Arabidopsis thaliana: one gene and its partners. The protein of the gene in region 4 interacts with the protein of the main gene of each other region in a pairwise test. Each region holds a gene or a part of one and is shown on either strand. Other genes may lie near its edges.

Evidence for each region.
Region 1: the proteins of AT5G15040 (region 4) and SPL13B interact in a two-hybrid assay, tested with the Arabidopsis thaliana proteins (one large-scale study listed by BioGRID).
Region 2: the proteins of AT5G15040 (region 4) and TINY2 interact in a two-hybrid assay, tested with the Arabidopsis thaliana proteins (one large-scale study listed by BioGRID).
Region 3: the proteins of AT5G15040 (region 4) and WOX14 interact in a two-hybrid assay, tested with the Arabidopsis thaliana proteins (one large-scale study listed by BioGRID).

What each region holds. Positions count from the first base shown.
Region 1 is NC_003076.8:20,615,166-20,619,703, forward strand, and holds SPL13B (Squamosa promoter-binding protein-like (SBP domain) transcription factor family protein), read right to left. Parts: upstream 2,899-4,538; 5' UTR 2,543-2,898; intron 2,374-2,542; exon of another isoform or gene 1,999-2,373; 5' UTR 1,969-1,998; coding exon 1,529-1,968; intron 1,458-1,528; coding exon 1,324-1,457; intron 1,238-1,323; coding exon 732-1,237; 3' UTR 539-731; downstream 1-538. Other genes in the region: AT5G50665 (uncharacterized protein), read left to right, coding at 1-3; SAE1B (SUMO activating enzyme 1B), read left to right, coding at 3,677-3,759, 3,954-4,005, 4,100-4,295, 4,380-4,459. UniProt on the Arabidopsis thaliana protein: Trans-acting factor that binds specifically to the consensus nucleotide sequence 5'-TNCGTACAA-3'.
Region 2 is NC_003076.8:3,726,887-3,730,536, forward strand, and holds TINY2 (Integrase-type DNA-binding superfamily protein), read right to left. Parts: upstream 1,841-3,650; 5' UTR 1,614-1,840; coding exon 903-1,613; 3' UTR 567-902; downstream 1-566.
Region 3 is NC_003070.9:7,181,029-7,184,625, reverse strand, and holds WOX14 (WUSCHEL related homeobox 14), read right to left. Parts: upstream 2,069-3,597; coding exon 1,864-2,068; exon of another isoform or gene 1,297-1,863; coding exon of another isoform or gene 1,278-1,296; coding exon 891-1,277; coding exon of another isoform or gene 874-890; exon of another isoform or gene 804-873; coding exon 760-803; 3' UTR 570-759; downstream 1-569. Other genes in the region: WOX10 (WUSCHEL related homeobox 10), read right to left, coding at 1-141; HMGB3 (high mobility group B3), read right to left, coding at 3,433-3,469, 3,557-3,597. UniProt on the Arabidopsis thaliana protein: Acts redundantly with WOX4 downstream of the TDR/PXY receptor kinase to regulate procambial cell proliferation and differentiation in vascular tissue, independently of any role in vascular. Involved in the regulation of gibberellin (GA) biosynthesis pathway.
Region 4 is NC_003076.8:4,869,253-4,872,431, forward strand, and holds AT5G15040 (Paired amphipathic helix (PAH2) superfamily protein), read right to left. Parts: upstream 1,490-3,179; 5' UTR 1,237-1,489; intron 1,024-1,236; 5' UTR 1,002-1,023; coding exon 895-1,001; intron 813-894; coding exon 656-812; 3' UTR 502-655; downstream 1-501. Other genes in the region: AT5G15050 (Core-2/I-branching beta-1,6-N-acetylglucosaminyltransferase family protein), read right to left, coding at 2,568-3,082.

The DNA of each region.
Region 1 (4,538 bases), about 16 Mb from region 4:
TAAGCTCAGAGAAGAGATAGTGATGTTAATTCTAAGTTTCATGTAAGATCTGCTCAAGTACTCATTTTTACACTATTCGAGTTTGAAGTTTGATTGGAGAGAAGAAGAAGACTGTACAAGATTATGAGAAGAATTGGAGAAGCGAGTCAAGGTTAGAAAGAAGATGTGATATCATTTTACTTGTGGCATTTGTTATTGTAATGTTAGTTAAGACTTGGATTGAGACTTGTATGGAGATTTTATATATATTGAATTTGATCAAAAAGAGGTTTCTTGCAAATGTGTAACAAAATGTCCCAAACTTATAGGCTGTTTATAGATTTATAGCCAAAAAAATAAAGCTACAACATATCAGATCATAGCCTATAAAATATAGCTACAAAATAATAGTTTATAGCCCTTAAAAAGAGTTACAAAAGTATAACATCAAAATTGTGCAATAACAAAGGAAATCAAAGCATTTCTTTTACGCCATAATATGTGAACATTTAATAGCATAGCAAGAAACGCTATTGTATGTGACCACTCTAAGATAGCTCCGGCAAACACAGCGTTTATGAATCCGCTATGTAAACGTTATTATAGCGTTTTCGGTGTGTTAAGAATGTCCATATTTCTTGTAGTGTTAACAAGAACAATGATGATGATAAAGAACATTGAAAAATGAGGGAGAAGAGAAGAGACACAAATAGATCTTTCTGATTCTATCTATCTACCTACTTCTTCTTCTACTACTCCCAATGAAACGGGAATGTCTGCGGAAGACGGACAGCCTCGTTACCGGATATAACCGATCCATCAGAGACTGCACTCGCATTCTCAAACAATCCCGACCCGTAAAAAACTGTCTCAACTGCTTCTTGGGACAAAGAAAGTGGTGGTTGAAGCAAATGAGGGACTGACGACGAGGAGGATGACAGAAGAGAGAGAGCACAATCAGAGTCATGGATGCAACTCGTCATTCTCTCACACAACGATGCGGTTCTCGAGCTTTCTTCTTCTTGCAAGAAAGGGAATTGTTTTGCTATGCTTCTGGTACTGTTTGGAGAAGAAGAGATTGGAAACATTATCCCTGTCTTTGCAGGAGAAGAACCAACAACATAGCTCTGGCTCTGCCCATAACTCGAACCATTGGCGGCTACAGCAACGCTTACAAGACTATTTCCCCAGCTCGGGTTCAACACAGATGTAGTTGGAAACACATGTGAACCACCAGAAAACTCTAGCAATTTGCTACCTGAAAACATAAAACAATGCTTCTTCATCAACAAGGAACGGTCTATTGGATTCAAGAAACTAACTAACTTTTCTTAAAACAGAAACCTTGAAAACCCGTAAAGAAGTTGGCAGGACGACCGATATGTTCAGGCTGCGGCTTCCGTCGTCTTCGATTATGTCCATCAAGACGTTTCCTACAACTTCTCTTCCCTTCATCAAACTCCTCCAAAGCATGAAACCTAATTAGACACAAATGTTAACATCTTCACCAACCCAACAAGAAGCTTAAACCATTAACACACAATCTTACCTGCTGCATTGTTGACAAAACCTCTGTTTATGACCATTAATAGTAACCACAGGAGTTTTTGAATGAACATCACAAACTTTATGTCTCTTATGATACTCTCTACAATTACTAAAATCAGAATCACATCCATCAACAAGACAAATCGGCATCTGGTTGGTTCCAACACCATTCCCTCTTGTTCTCTTTGAACTCGAGCTTCTTGAACCTTCTGGTTTAGCTAAAGCACTATCTTTCCACTTACTAAGACTAATCACTTGCTCTGTATCACCAAAAACAGAGGAAGAGTTTCCAATGTTTCTTCCAAGTTTTAGATCAAATGAAAAATCCGCTTTTGACTGTGACGACCCACCAAACGAGATCGAACCATCCATTGGTGATAAATCTGGTTCTTGATCGAATCCAGATAAATAACCAGAGCTAAGTTTGAAATTCCAGTCCATTCAAAGATTGTGCTTTTTTTTCTTCTCTCACTATAAAAACACATACATACACAACAGCAATCAAAGCAATATCAAGATTTGTCCTTTTTGATATTGGTACTCTAAATTTAAGAACAAACAGCAAAAACAACTAGTAAACATAAAACCCATGAATCTTTAACTCAATTAAACTTCAACTTCAATACATATGAAGGAAAATAAAAAAGCATAAGCAAAAAGCAAAAACACAATTATAAAGAGTACTCTGAAATTGTAGTTGAAGCTCTAACAAAATGATCTATTTTGATATTGAAAAAAAAACAAAAAAAAAATCCCAAAAAAGGCAAACTAATTGTACTGAAAAAACGAAATGAGAAGTGCAGAAACATAGAAACTAGAACAGATCCCACAAAATGGGAAGAAAGGAAAACAAAAAAAAAAACAAAAAACTTTTTTTCTGTCTACTCAATTCCAAGCAAGAATTAAAAAAATGCAATAAAAATGAAAGATTAAAGTAAGATTATAAACATGTTATTACATTAAAAAAAACTATAGAATAAGAAAAGTTTGTTGTTTGAAGGTTGAGAAATCTTACCAAATCCATACACCTACCAGTAGAGTCAGTAGAAGAAGAAACTCCAAAAGAGAAAGATGAAAATATAAAAAAATGGGACAAGTGAAAAAAAAGAAAGAGAAGATGATGGAGTTTAGCAAGAGAAAGTGGAGACAACAAGTGTGGCTGCTACTTCAATAATGCAAATAAGAGAAAGAGGAAAGAGAGAGAGAAATTGATGATAATAGCTATTACTAAGTTAAGAAATGATTTACTTACTTTAATTGTAACTTTACTTTCCTGATTTAGGGTTTTATTGATATCATTTTTTAAAAACTTTGAGTAAGAAAAAGTGAAGAAAAGAATGGAGGAAAGTGACAGCTGTTGTTGATTGTTCTTTTGCTTACTTTTTCAACTTTTCTTTGTTTATATTTTTCTCTGCCATTCATCAATTCTGAACTCTGAGCATCCGATTTTTATGAATGAACAGAGTATACTTTTGAAAATTTCAAATTACTCATAAATCTTGTATCTTTTTACTGACCCTTATCCAAAATATATTAGTTTTCAAATTGTGATATAAAATAGATGTGGTTTTTTCTTTTTTATAACTATGATGATGATGAAAATGAAACAATAAATTGGAAAGTGATACTAAAGAAAGAGGTATAGGATGCTTAGTTGTTTACGGCAAAAAACATAGCATGTGAATGTTGTGCTTCGCATTACACAACATCTTCTTCTGTTTTTTTTCTTCTCTCTTTCCACCGATACGCGTTATTTTCTTTGACTTTCATAGTTACGGGTCACACAAGTTGTCAATTATCAGGGAGAATCGTATAAAAGTCTTCCATGTCTTTAAAAGTTTTGCAGATGGATTTAAAAGATTTGGGGTCCAAAGCCCATGTTTCATTTGTTTCGGCCCATAAATTGTCCTAAAAAATAACAAATTGGTTATTTATTGAATGCACAGTTGTTTTGAATTTAAAAATTTGTAGTTGACGAACCGGACCAAACCAAAACAAACCATGTAATTTGAATAAATAAAAAGAAAGCAATTTTCCGGTTAACAAAAAATCTCAAACTCAGTGAGTGAGTCACCGAAAACCTCTTGTAGTAGATTCGTGACGGGTTTGATCATCTCTTCGAGGTCGGTTCTAGGGTTTCACTACGAGAATGGACGGAGATGAGCTCACCGAGCAGGAAACTGCTCTTTATGACCGTCAAATTAGGGTATGGGGAGCTGGTGCTCAAAGAAGGTACTTCACATTGAATCTAACTTCTATGGCTTCAAGCAACAACAAGTTATTGATTTTCCGTTTGAGTACTAATAAACTCTTCTTGTTGGGCTATACTCGGTGAAAGTTTATCTCTTTCTGGGTTTTAAGCTAATTTAGCTGTTGAAATTTTGATTAGGGCTTCTCTGAATTTTGTTTTGTGTTTTTGCTTGCAGATTGAGTAAATCTCATGTTTTGGTATCTGGAATTAAGGGCACTGTTGCTGAGGTACCTCTTACTTTATTTTGTGACTCTCTATTAGCTATGTTGCAGTAGAGTGAGTGTTGGCATCTTACTTGGTTTCCTCCATTTGGTGTTGCAGTTTTGTAAGAACATTGTGTTGGCAGGAGTAGGTAGTGTGACTCTGTTGGATGATCGATTGGTTACAACGGAAGTCTTCAACGCAAACTTCTTGATTCTTCCTGATGAAAATGCTTATGTAGGCAAAACCGTAGCTGAGATTTGTTGTGATTCACTTAAGGATTTTAACCCTATGGTTCATGTTTCAATAGAGAAAGGTTACTCCTCCTTTCTTCATTTCTCTCTAATTTTAGTAGAAACAAATGATTTTAGTAACATCGAGTCTATGTCTTCAATTTCAGGTGATTTGTCAACACTTGGTGTTGATTTTTTCGAGAAGTTTGATGTTGTGGTTATCGGCTACAGTTCTCGTGCTACTAAGGTACTGTTGATACCTCCTTCTTTTAGTTGTTCCAGTTGTTTTTGTCTTTTGTTGCCATGTAGATTGATCACTTGAAATA
Region 2 (3,650 bases), 1.1 Mb from region 4:
CATTTTAATATTAATCTATTTCTTGATATATACATTCTTTTTTATTTGATGATCATTATGAAATTTTGATAAATTAGTCTTTAATCTTAACATATCGTAGAATAAGAACACAAACAAAAAAAAGTCATCTGTGGAGCTGGCTAATCAGATCTGAATTTATCATAAGCCTTTCTCTTTTTAATTCTAAAATAGAACGAGTTGTATGATATTTGTGTGGCCTATATTGTCTAACAAATTTTTTAAAGTGGGAAATTATGGTCATTAACATACTAATAGATGATAATAAAGTATTGCATGGATGTACATATGTGGCTGTGTATTGTTTGCGTCAGCTTGGACAAGTTGCTCTTGCTTTGTGTTTTCCCTCATTTTTTACCCTAACTCACATTCTCCGTTCCATTTATGTCGACAAAACAAAAATGAATGGGATAGTGAGACTCTAATTTACAATTAATGGTTAAAGATATTTCCTATAATTTTAAAAAAAAAACTTTTTTTGTCAAAGAAAACAAAAACAAAAACATTGAACAGTTTTTTAAATTTTGATGATTTGCATTATTACAATATCATAAAGTTAGTGGACTTTTATTTATCGCTTATTCATTTGATGATACTTACAAAAAAATCACTTTATTTTCCCTTCTTTTCCGACAAAAAAACCCGATATTTATATATTACAAAAAAAAAACACAAATAGAGTTTTGTACACGTATCATTATGGAGCTCACACCCGCTCCAAAAAAAAAAAAAAAAAAAACCTTTCTTAGCTAACACCAAAAAACTCAAAAAAAAAACAAAAACAGCAAAGGGTTTTAAAAACGTGATTAAACAAAACATTATGGCAATGATACAAAATAAACTGTTTTAAACAAAACATTATGGTAATGATACAAAATAAACTGTTAGAGATCCCATGACAAGCCATGGCCAAAATTAGGGCTAATTCCGTGACCATAGTTATCTTCGGACGACTGTCCCCACGGCGGCGGATATAAACAGTAGTCAACTGAGTCATAGAAGACAAACTCGTTCCCAAGGTTAGCCGAGTCGACGTCGTAACTCGCCCCGAGACTTGGAAGCTCCACAATCTCACCGAGCTCCTCCGACTCAGTCCTCGAGAGGTCCATCACCAACACAAGAGACTCGAGCGAAGACGTAGAAGACAAAGACGACGACGAAGACGTGGAAGATGAAAACGACGTCGTCGGTTCCATGTGAGCTGCTTTAAGAGCTGCTGTCTGAATGTCTCGAGGGCTTAATGAAACGGGTCGAGGGAATGAGTCAGCGAGTTCAGGGAAGTTTAGTATAGCGGCCGTTCCTTTAATGCTCAGAGCCGCCACGTCGTGTGCACGCGCCGCCATCTCCGGCGTCGGGAAAGTTCCCAGCCAAATACGTGATTTCTTCCTCGGCTCACGAATCTCCGACACCCATTTTCCCCAGTTCCTCATCCTTACTCCGCGATAAACAGGGTGTTTACCGGAGTCTCTCCCACGTTTAGTCTTCTTCTCGCTTTGCTCAGCTTTGCTTTTGTCACTCACTGAGTCAGACTCCGAGTTAGGGACAAGAAGCTGAGTTACTCTCTCCGAGCGGAGGCTGTAGTATTCCTCTGCCATTGTGTTAGCTTAGGCACAAGTATCGTACAAGTCTATTATTCTGATTGCTTTTTTCGATTCGGATCCCGAGATTAATGCAAATAAAAAGAAATAGCTAGGCTTCAGGGGGAAAAATATATAAGTTTGAGAACTATTCAAAATGAGGAAAAAAAACAGGGCAGTGAAGTGTGATGAAGAAATGAGAGAGAAACTTTGATATGAGAAGAGAAAAATGTTGGTAAAATTTTGGCTATCATTTCTCAGTCACTCAAAATATTTATATATGCATTAATATATTTGGGTACGGGTTAGAAGAGAGGGAATGGGACCAAAAACAATGCAATAAGTCTAATTGAATAAAGGAAATGGACCCAGTGGCTCCATTTATTTTTGTTTTTCTCACAGACCCACTCTATTTCTATATTGTGAATATATTGTTATTAGTATAAAACGACACACTTGGGGTCACTGTTTGCTTTAATATTTTTCCCGGTTCTTAAAATCTCATTATGCAACTAAATTAGGAAAACAAAATACTTTTCAGTATATTAAAAGATTATGAGACGACCATATTTAGAAGGGCAGTGTTGAAAAGAGATTTTGTCTCGGCCGGGTACGTAAATTATATGAAAGTTGTCTCCGAGATGAACATGATGAGACAAGCCTTTTTTGTTTTGTGTGGTAAGATAATTTTCACCTCAGTTTTACTGTTTAATTATCCTTTACCTTGATCTTCGACTCATTGGATCATACATTCCTATTTACATATTGGTATATATATATGCTCATCATGTGAAGGCAATATGTATCCACATATATGATATGCCATAATTGCAATTTAGTTTTGATCAGAATTAATATACATATTATTTACACGGATATAGAGTTATTGTCTTTCAAATTTTGATTTTCTATAAACATATTATATGAATGTCAACAGTTTTTGAAGATTTATTCAGGAAATTTTTTTAGTAAGTATCATATGTTTACTTTAGTTATATATATCGAGGGCTAATTAAAGGAACTTGTCTTAACCAATAAACCATATGCTTCGAGGCTAAATTTTAAATTTTGGAGAAATTTGTAACTGAGTGTTTTTTTTCGAGACACCAAATGGTGTGTGATTAATTGCACAATTTGTACTGATTTCATTTGAGAGGATATTTTATACTTAGACTTGAAAAGGTGTACTAAAGGGGGTTTAACCGTAAGTAAATTGATAATTAATACCTCTGTCCTGGTCTTAGAAAATATATGGGCGTAAGACCCATAAAAGAAAGAAATCTACCAGCCAATTGATATTAATTAGGTTAAAGTTGCTTCCAAACTAAAAAAAAAAGCCCCCAAAATTAGAGGTACAATATTGCAAATAAAGAAAAGAAGTTTGTAGAGGAAACTTCAAGAAATTTTAAGGGACAATAACTTGTTCAATCATGGGGTCGTATTTGCGTACCTATAAGGAAGGACGAGTGTCTGTCAAATATACACATACACTAAAGTCTTTTAATAATCATGCCAAAAAAATGTCTCTTAATGACGAAAAAATAATGTCTCTTAATAATCATTTTGGATTTTTCACAAGTAATAGCAATGTCTAAGTACTTGCAATGAAGAGAATTGTTTGTATTTTCGCCTCTCGTTTCAGCAATACGTATATGCATTTTATATTGATCATATACGTAATACTAATTAACAATAATATTGATCATCTTAAGTTTACTAAAAAAAAAAAAAAACTGGTCAACAAAGGTTTTAGAGTTTACAAGTTTCTAATTCAAAAATTATTGACATGAATATATTGACTCTTGCTTTATATTTATCCTAGTTAAACAGATTTTATGTGAGATTCTTACAAGTCTATTTAAGACGAGAACGAAAATAGTTTAATTGTTTTGAAAATATTGTTAGAACACGAGAACAGTTTATGAAATCAATCGGATTACAAAACCATTAAATAATTTTGAAACCTCTATTTAAAAGTCAAAACTAACTAGTAATGAATGAAAAAATAGAAAAAAAGAAAAATTATTCACTATATTTCAAAATATAAGATGTTTT
Region 3 (3,597 bases), on a different chromosome or scaffold from region 4:
GACAGAAGAGAGAGAGTTGTGGAGGAAGACGAGCTGGTCGCAAAGAACGGCGTAAATGGCGATTTGCTTACGAAGAGTCTCCATTTGTTCATCCGTCATTACTCTACTACCATACCTACCGTTTAGGCTCTCTTGCTCCATCTCCTCTTTCACCACTTTGCCTTCTCCTCTCTCCTTTTTACCATATGAAGAAGACAATGTGGAAGTGAAGGTGTTATGTATTTTTCTTTTTGAGAAATCTTTAGTTATTTGTTACCGTTAACTTTAAACAATTTATGGAAAGATGTCAAACTAGGATCAATTGTCTGATTTTTTTTCTTTTTCAATTACTAGTTAATTGAGGTAATTTTGGGATTCAATTGGATAAATAATTGATATATATTCTAATTGTGTGGTCATGTAACCAATATCCGATTTTATATGATTTTTTGTGTGATAACAATAAATTTAAAAACAATGAAAAAAGCTATGGTCATGACTAGGATCGGTTATTATGGTCAATTGCTTCTACTCTTTAGTGTCATTTGAATTGAGATTTACCGGTCAAAATATCAACCGAGTTTAAGATGGCATCACTTTTCTTTCTGATGCTGAAAAAGATGTGGGCATATATATCAAGTTGAGGAACACAAAATTATAATAAAATTGAAGACTTGTTGTTAATGTCACACACAAACACACACAATTCTATTTTATGAAAACAGAGTAAAAGAAAACAGAATAGATTAGAGATCTTCTTCATCGAAGTCTATACGAATTTTAAGTCTCCATAAATTTCCCTATACTCAACAAATGCTCAATCCCTGAAACCACAAAAAAAAATGCAAACTCAAACCAAAAATAAAAAATAAACCTAACCAAATGTTTAAAAACTCAAATGATCTTTTTACCTAAGTCAGGACTTGGGAAGAGTATATGCTCATAAGACTCTAATCCCCCTGAATCTCCACAACTCCTCCTTTCCTCCGTTGTCACCGCCACATCGTCAGCCTGACCATTAGCTGTCGTCGTTTGAGGCTGCTTTCGTTTGGACCGAGCTCGCCGGTTTTGAAACCAATTGTAGACATTTGTCTCCGTGATCTGTCCATGTTCAGACAGCTCCGTCGCGATCTCTCTAATCCTCCGTCGATTCGGTGTTCCACTTCCTTCGTCGTAAATGCTCTCAAGTATCTGAAGCTGTGTTGAAGTCGGAGTCCACCGATGCCTAGTCGATATCCTATGAGAACTTGACGATGCCCCCATCGGATCAAAGTATCCGCCAACCATTGGCCTCACTCCTTTTTTACACTCAATCATTATAAAAAAATAAGTGACGTGACCCTTAAGTTTCTTCCATGTACAAAATATGTATTATCAAAACCACAAAGCACTAATAACTCAAGCTTCTTAAAAATCGGCCACGACATGATAACCCTCAAATCAGCTTACGTCTAGAGAAAATAAACATTAATAATATATTGAATTGTTCGATCTAAGCAAATCATAAACTATATTAACAAATATCTTTAGCAATGATAAATCGATATCTAAGCGGTAGGTAAACTGTCTTCGAATGTCTAAAACATTATGAAATTTGATTCAAAGTTATGCATCGAACACTGGGAAAAAAAAAGCCTTGGATTTCGTTAGTTGTATACCAAACGCAAACACAATTTTCACATTTTTACACTAAAGTCTCAATGGGTCAAGTGTATTAATGGAAACAACGTTTGCATCGCAAAAAACGCTGCGTTTAAACACTTTCGTCTTACACACTTCTTCTACCGTATACAAAGAAGCTCATCAAATGGTCTCTTGTAAAAAAATCAAATACATAGAAAAGTGATTGTTGTTAATCAGGAACAAAAACAGAGAGAAGTGTACCTGATGAGAGTGGATGGTAAGAAGAGAGGGAGTTGTGGAGGAGGACGAGTTGGTCACAAATAACGGCGTAAACGGCGATCTGCTTACGGAGAATCTCCATCTGCTCCTCAGTCATCACTCTCCCACTATACGCACCGTTTTGGATCTCTCTATCCATCTCCTCTATTTCTTTGCTTTTCTCCTTTTCCTTTTTTTTTTTTACCATATGAACAAGACAATGAGAAAGTGAATGATATATATATTCTTTTGTTTATGAATAAAGGGATCTTTAGTTTATTTGTTACCGTTAAATCAAACACTTTTTGGAAAGATGTCTTTGTTTAATGATCAATTGGACCAATTTAATTTTTACAGTTACCAGGTTTATTACATTGGTTACATATTGAAAACATTGGAGAACTATGGCCTTTCACTAGGATAGATTTTGGTCGACGGTATTCACAATTTTTTGTTAGAATTTCAACATTTTAATCGAGTTTTACGGGTCAAGATATCTACCATTTGAAATAGAAAAATGTGCTAATCCAAAATATGTATCTAAGAAGATCTTAATCCTATGTGTTGATGACATAATAAGACACCACACTAATATATAAAAACAACCTAATTAAAACCAGGTATTGTTGTTACATCCGTAGAGGAACACAAACTGTGTATCTTACTTTATGTATATAGTGGTTAGGTAAAGCCGGAAGCAAGGCTTAATCACAGCATTATATAAAATATTATCGTTGTGACTTATGACTAATGATTAAACTATTGATGGAAAAAGAAGAGCATGCTTTCTTTCTTTTTCTAAGTTGATTAAGAAGAAAATGTACGAATTTGACCAAAAAGGTTCTTTGATATAAAGATGTTGACTAAAAATTTATAACATAAGTGAGACTATTCTGCTGCTAATACGCAGATTTTCACTAAAATCTTCACTTTTGTCAAAAATGATCAAATTTTTTACTTATTTCTTAAATCAAACGAAGTAATACAATCCAAAGAGAAACTCTTAATTAAGCTGATGCAAACCATTTTTTTTTTTCAAAAGATGAAAAGAGAACCAAATGATCATGGCGTTGGTAATTTGGAAAATTCAAGTATAGCCTCAAAACAATTTTACCAACCTGTGTCTAAAGTCAAATAACTAAATAAAAAGTGAAAACATGGTTTACTCTTTGTGGAACACATTGATTAAGAGCGTGATTATGCAATAGGACTCACAACCCCAATATGATTTAAGTAAAAACATGGTTTACACTAATATTTTTTTCAGGGGTATAAATCCTCATATCAACTAGAAACAAAGAGTCTAAAGAGCATTAAAACGTAGAGGAATTAAAAACTAAATCATTCATTATATAGAGCTACAAATCTCTCATTTCACCATCTAAACATTCTACATTCACTTTTTCCATTACCCGTAGAATCAGTGGGAGATAGGTAATAGTTTACTAAAACGAAACATCAGTAAGAAAAAGAAAAAGAAAAAAAAAAAAAACCACTTTAACCACCCGAATTAACATTTTAAGAGAGGAGATAAAAACATCCGAGAGATTCCTTGCAGCCTTCTATATTACGCTACCACAACTTCAACTTCTTAATCATCGTCTTCCTCCTACATCACATGTATAACAGAGTTAATACAAAGCTTTACTGATTCATACTACAGATATTTAGATTGCAGAGGTGTAAAATAACTTACCTCTTCACTGCCATCCTCAGCATCATCCTCATCGTTAACCT
Region 4 (3,179 bases):
GATATTTTTGGTTACATTTGATCAGCAAATACAGCAACAATATGATGGAGAGAAATCTTTGTGATTTTTAGTATTTGTAACATCATACTGTAGAACCAATGTGATCATAGTGTAAGGCTATATATATAAAGAGGCCTTTTTTCATCCCTGAAGTTCTGTAGAATATGCTCTCTCTTTTATTTGACAGCTAAAAAATAAACATTAATAAAAAGGAATAAAATCGTTTTCACTTTTTTTTTGAATTGTTATTGTATCAGTTGATGAGAAAATACTGCAACGATATGATGAAGAAATTCTTAATGATTTTTAGTATTTGTAACAATCAAACTATGATCTCAATATAGTTCTTTTTTCAATCTATGATTTTAACTTCTCGTTAGAATATTACAAATTTCATATATACTTCAGTTTTTTTTTTCATTAAGAATAAAAAATAATAAGTAGATAATAATGCTTTTGCCGAAGGTCAAATTAAGTAAATAAAGAAATTAAGTGGACGTAAAGAAGATAGCAAAAGGTCAAACTTTATCATAGTGAAATTCCTACATGCATGGCAAAGCAAAGATACTCGATAAACCATCAAGAACTGAATAGAGAGACTAATTTAGAGATTTTGATCGTATCATTTGAGTAGAAAAAATATGACAAGATAATTTCAATAGTTTCTTGCAGTCGAGCTAAAAGAGTCTTCTACGTCATCATCAAGAGCTATCTTGTATCCAGTTGGCAAAAAGGTGTTAAATCCGATAATCAATTCGTTGTGCTCCTTGAACAACTCTTTCAATTGAGCAAACGCAGTATGACGACCAATCCTGTGAATGCAAGAAATTCTTTGAGCAAACTCATCAAAACCTTAAGGCTAAACCAAAAAAAAAAAAAAAGCAATCATCTTACCTTCGTGCCTTCAAATCTAACAAAATATTCTTGAACATATCATATTTTTCAATTTGATCATGAAACGTATCTTTCACTTCCATAAAGTATGCCCTACATTCAGCCATAATGTCTCTTCTTCTTCCATGCCTGCACCAAAACCCAAAGAACAATAGAGACAGACATTATAACATGTTCCTACACATTCACGTAATAAAGAAAACTAACAATTCGCCCACAAGCCAAAAGAGGAATTCAGAGAGTCGCAAGTTTTGAAAGTTTACAGTTATCTTTAGACAAGCAACAAGTAGCCCAAAAACAACCCACGATAGCACCAACACACTTAAAGATTAGGAAACTAACCTTCGAGACCTTGGAACGTTTATTGCATCAGGAGTCCGCTTGGAACGTTTATTGCATCAGGGATAAACAAAAGATAAACAATTAGAGAGGTTACTTGGAAAGATATGAAACAAATCAATCAGATCTTTGAAGCGAGAGCAGAATCTAGAAGAAGAAACACTTCCATCACCGACGATTATACATACATGTACCAGAAAATGTTCTAGGCAGATACGATTAAGCGTTGCGACTTGTGATGAGAAGAGACCCAAATCACAACGCATGACAAACAAATTATAAATAAAGGCGCCAAATGGTGCCGTACGTTTCTCTTCGTAACGTCGTTGGGCCTAAATTAATAATGGGCTTTTATAGGTCGAGGTTAGGCCTTATTGTAAGTATTCATCTGCATTTCTTCTTTGTTTTATATTTACTAATATGGATATTTTGTTACAGTTTCAGTTGATGAGCAAATACTGCCACAATTGGTCCGTATATGAAACCGTGACTGAGAATTTTAGACCAAACTCTGTTCTCAATTGTTTATTTGTCAGTATTCGATATGGATTCTTGTTAGAAATATAAATATATTTTTGCTTCTGCTATTTTTGTGACATTTTAATGAAATATATATTTAATGTTATGTGACAGCTTTGAATGAGAGCCATTATATATATTTTTGTGACATTTTACTATGTTCATTTGATAAGCTTCTTGCTTCTGCTATGATGATTTTTTGAATAAATTTTACATGTCAGACTTTTAGAGATTTTTGTTTATCATTAAGAATCTTTGATAATAAAAAATCAGAGCAGAAGTAATATAATCTTGACTTCTTGAGTAATATAATATTTCCAAAACATTTGATAAATCAAATTCAAACCAAATCTTTGCCACCAGTCAGTCACATGGAATGAGTAGTGACCATCAATAGGCCCTCATGTAATTTGCACTTAGTCACATGGGTGTATATCTATAAATTTAAAACAACAATATCAATGTGAGTTATTGAATCATGTATCAAATTAATTCAAAAGCAATAATATCAATGAAACACCTATATGTTAGTCACAATAGTCAGGTAACTTCATCATGCAAACAATAAAAAGGACATGACTAATATGTGACAAACCTATAAAATTGGTATCAAGTTGGAAAAGGCCAAACTTTAGGTCGGCAATAGAAGACAAATTCCAATAATCAATGATCTTTCCCGAAATTTCTGCACTTTCTCAAATGAAGAAAGTCCAAAAAGATCTCTATACAACCATATCAAAGTATCGGATAATCAATACAGTTCATTTGTGTGAAAAACCACGTAACCATCTCTATGACAAAACTCTAATTTGCCATTACCGGCATTGCCGTGGTCTGAAATTCTCAGTAGATAACAAATAAGTTATGAGTTTCTCGATCCGTTTAGCTCCAAGACCAGGTTTAATAACCGACGTATCACCAATCACCGCACACGGATCGCTCCCGTTTTCCCTCGTACCAATACACCAACCACCCGGAGTGACCATCCCGTGACTCCGAAACAATAGTTCCGAATCAATCTTATCGAGAACAGGCTCATCTCTACGGAATTTCCTAGCAAAAGGAGCGTTACTGTCCACCATTCTCTGGAAATCATCTAATGTAAGATGGTGAGGATGTTGCTTTGGAGGATTGTCCCATGAGATGAAATGTAAGTCACTGTTAACCGTTGTGTTGGTAAACTCTCGAGCATTGCAAATCACAGTGTGGAAGTAACCTTCTGGCGATGAAAGGAAGTTTGCGTAATACATTAACACAATTCGAGGAAGATTATCCCATCCCCATATGAAATAATCCACAAAAGGTCTAGATAACATCATCCACGCAGATCCTATTAACCAACAACATCAAAAAACCATTAGAGCCTAAGAATTGTTATATCACATCAATGAGTGTAACAAGGATCCTACATTTAAGGAAGACTCTAC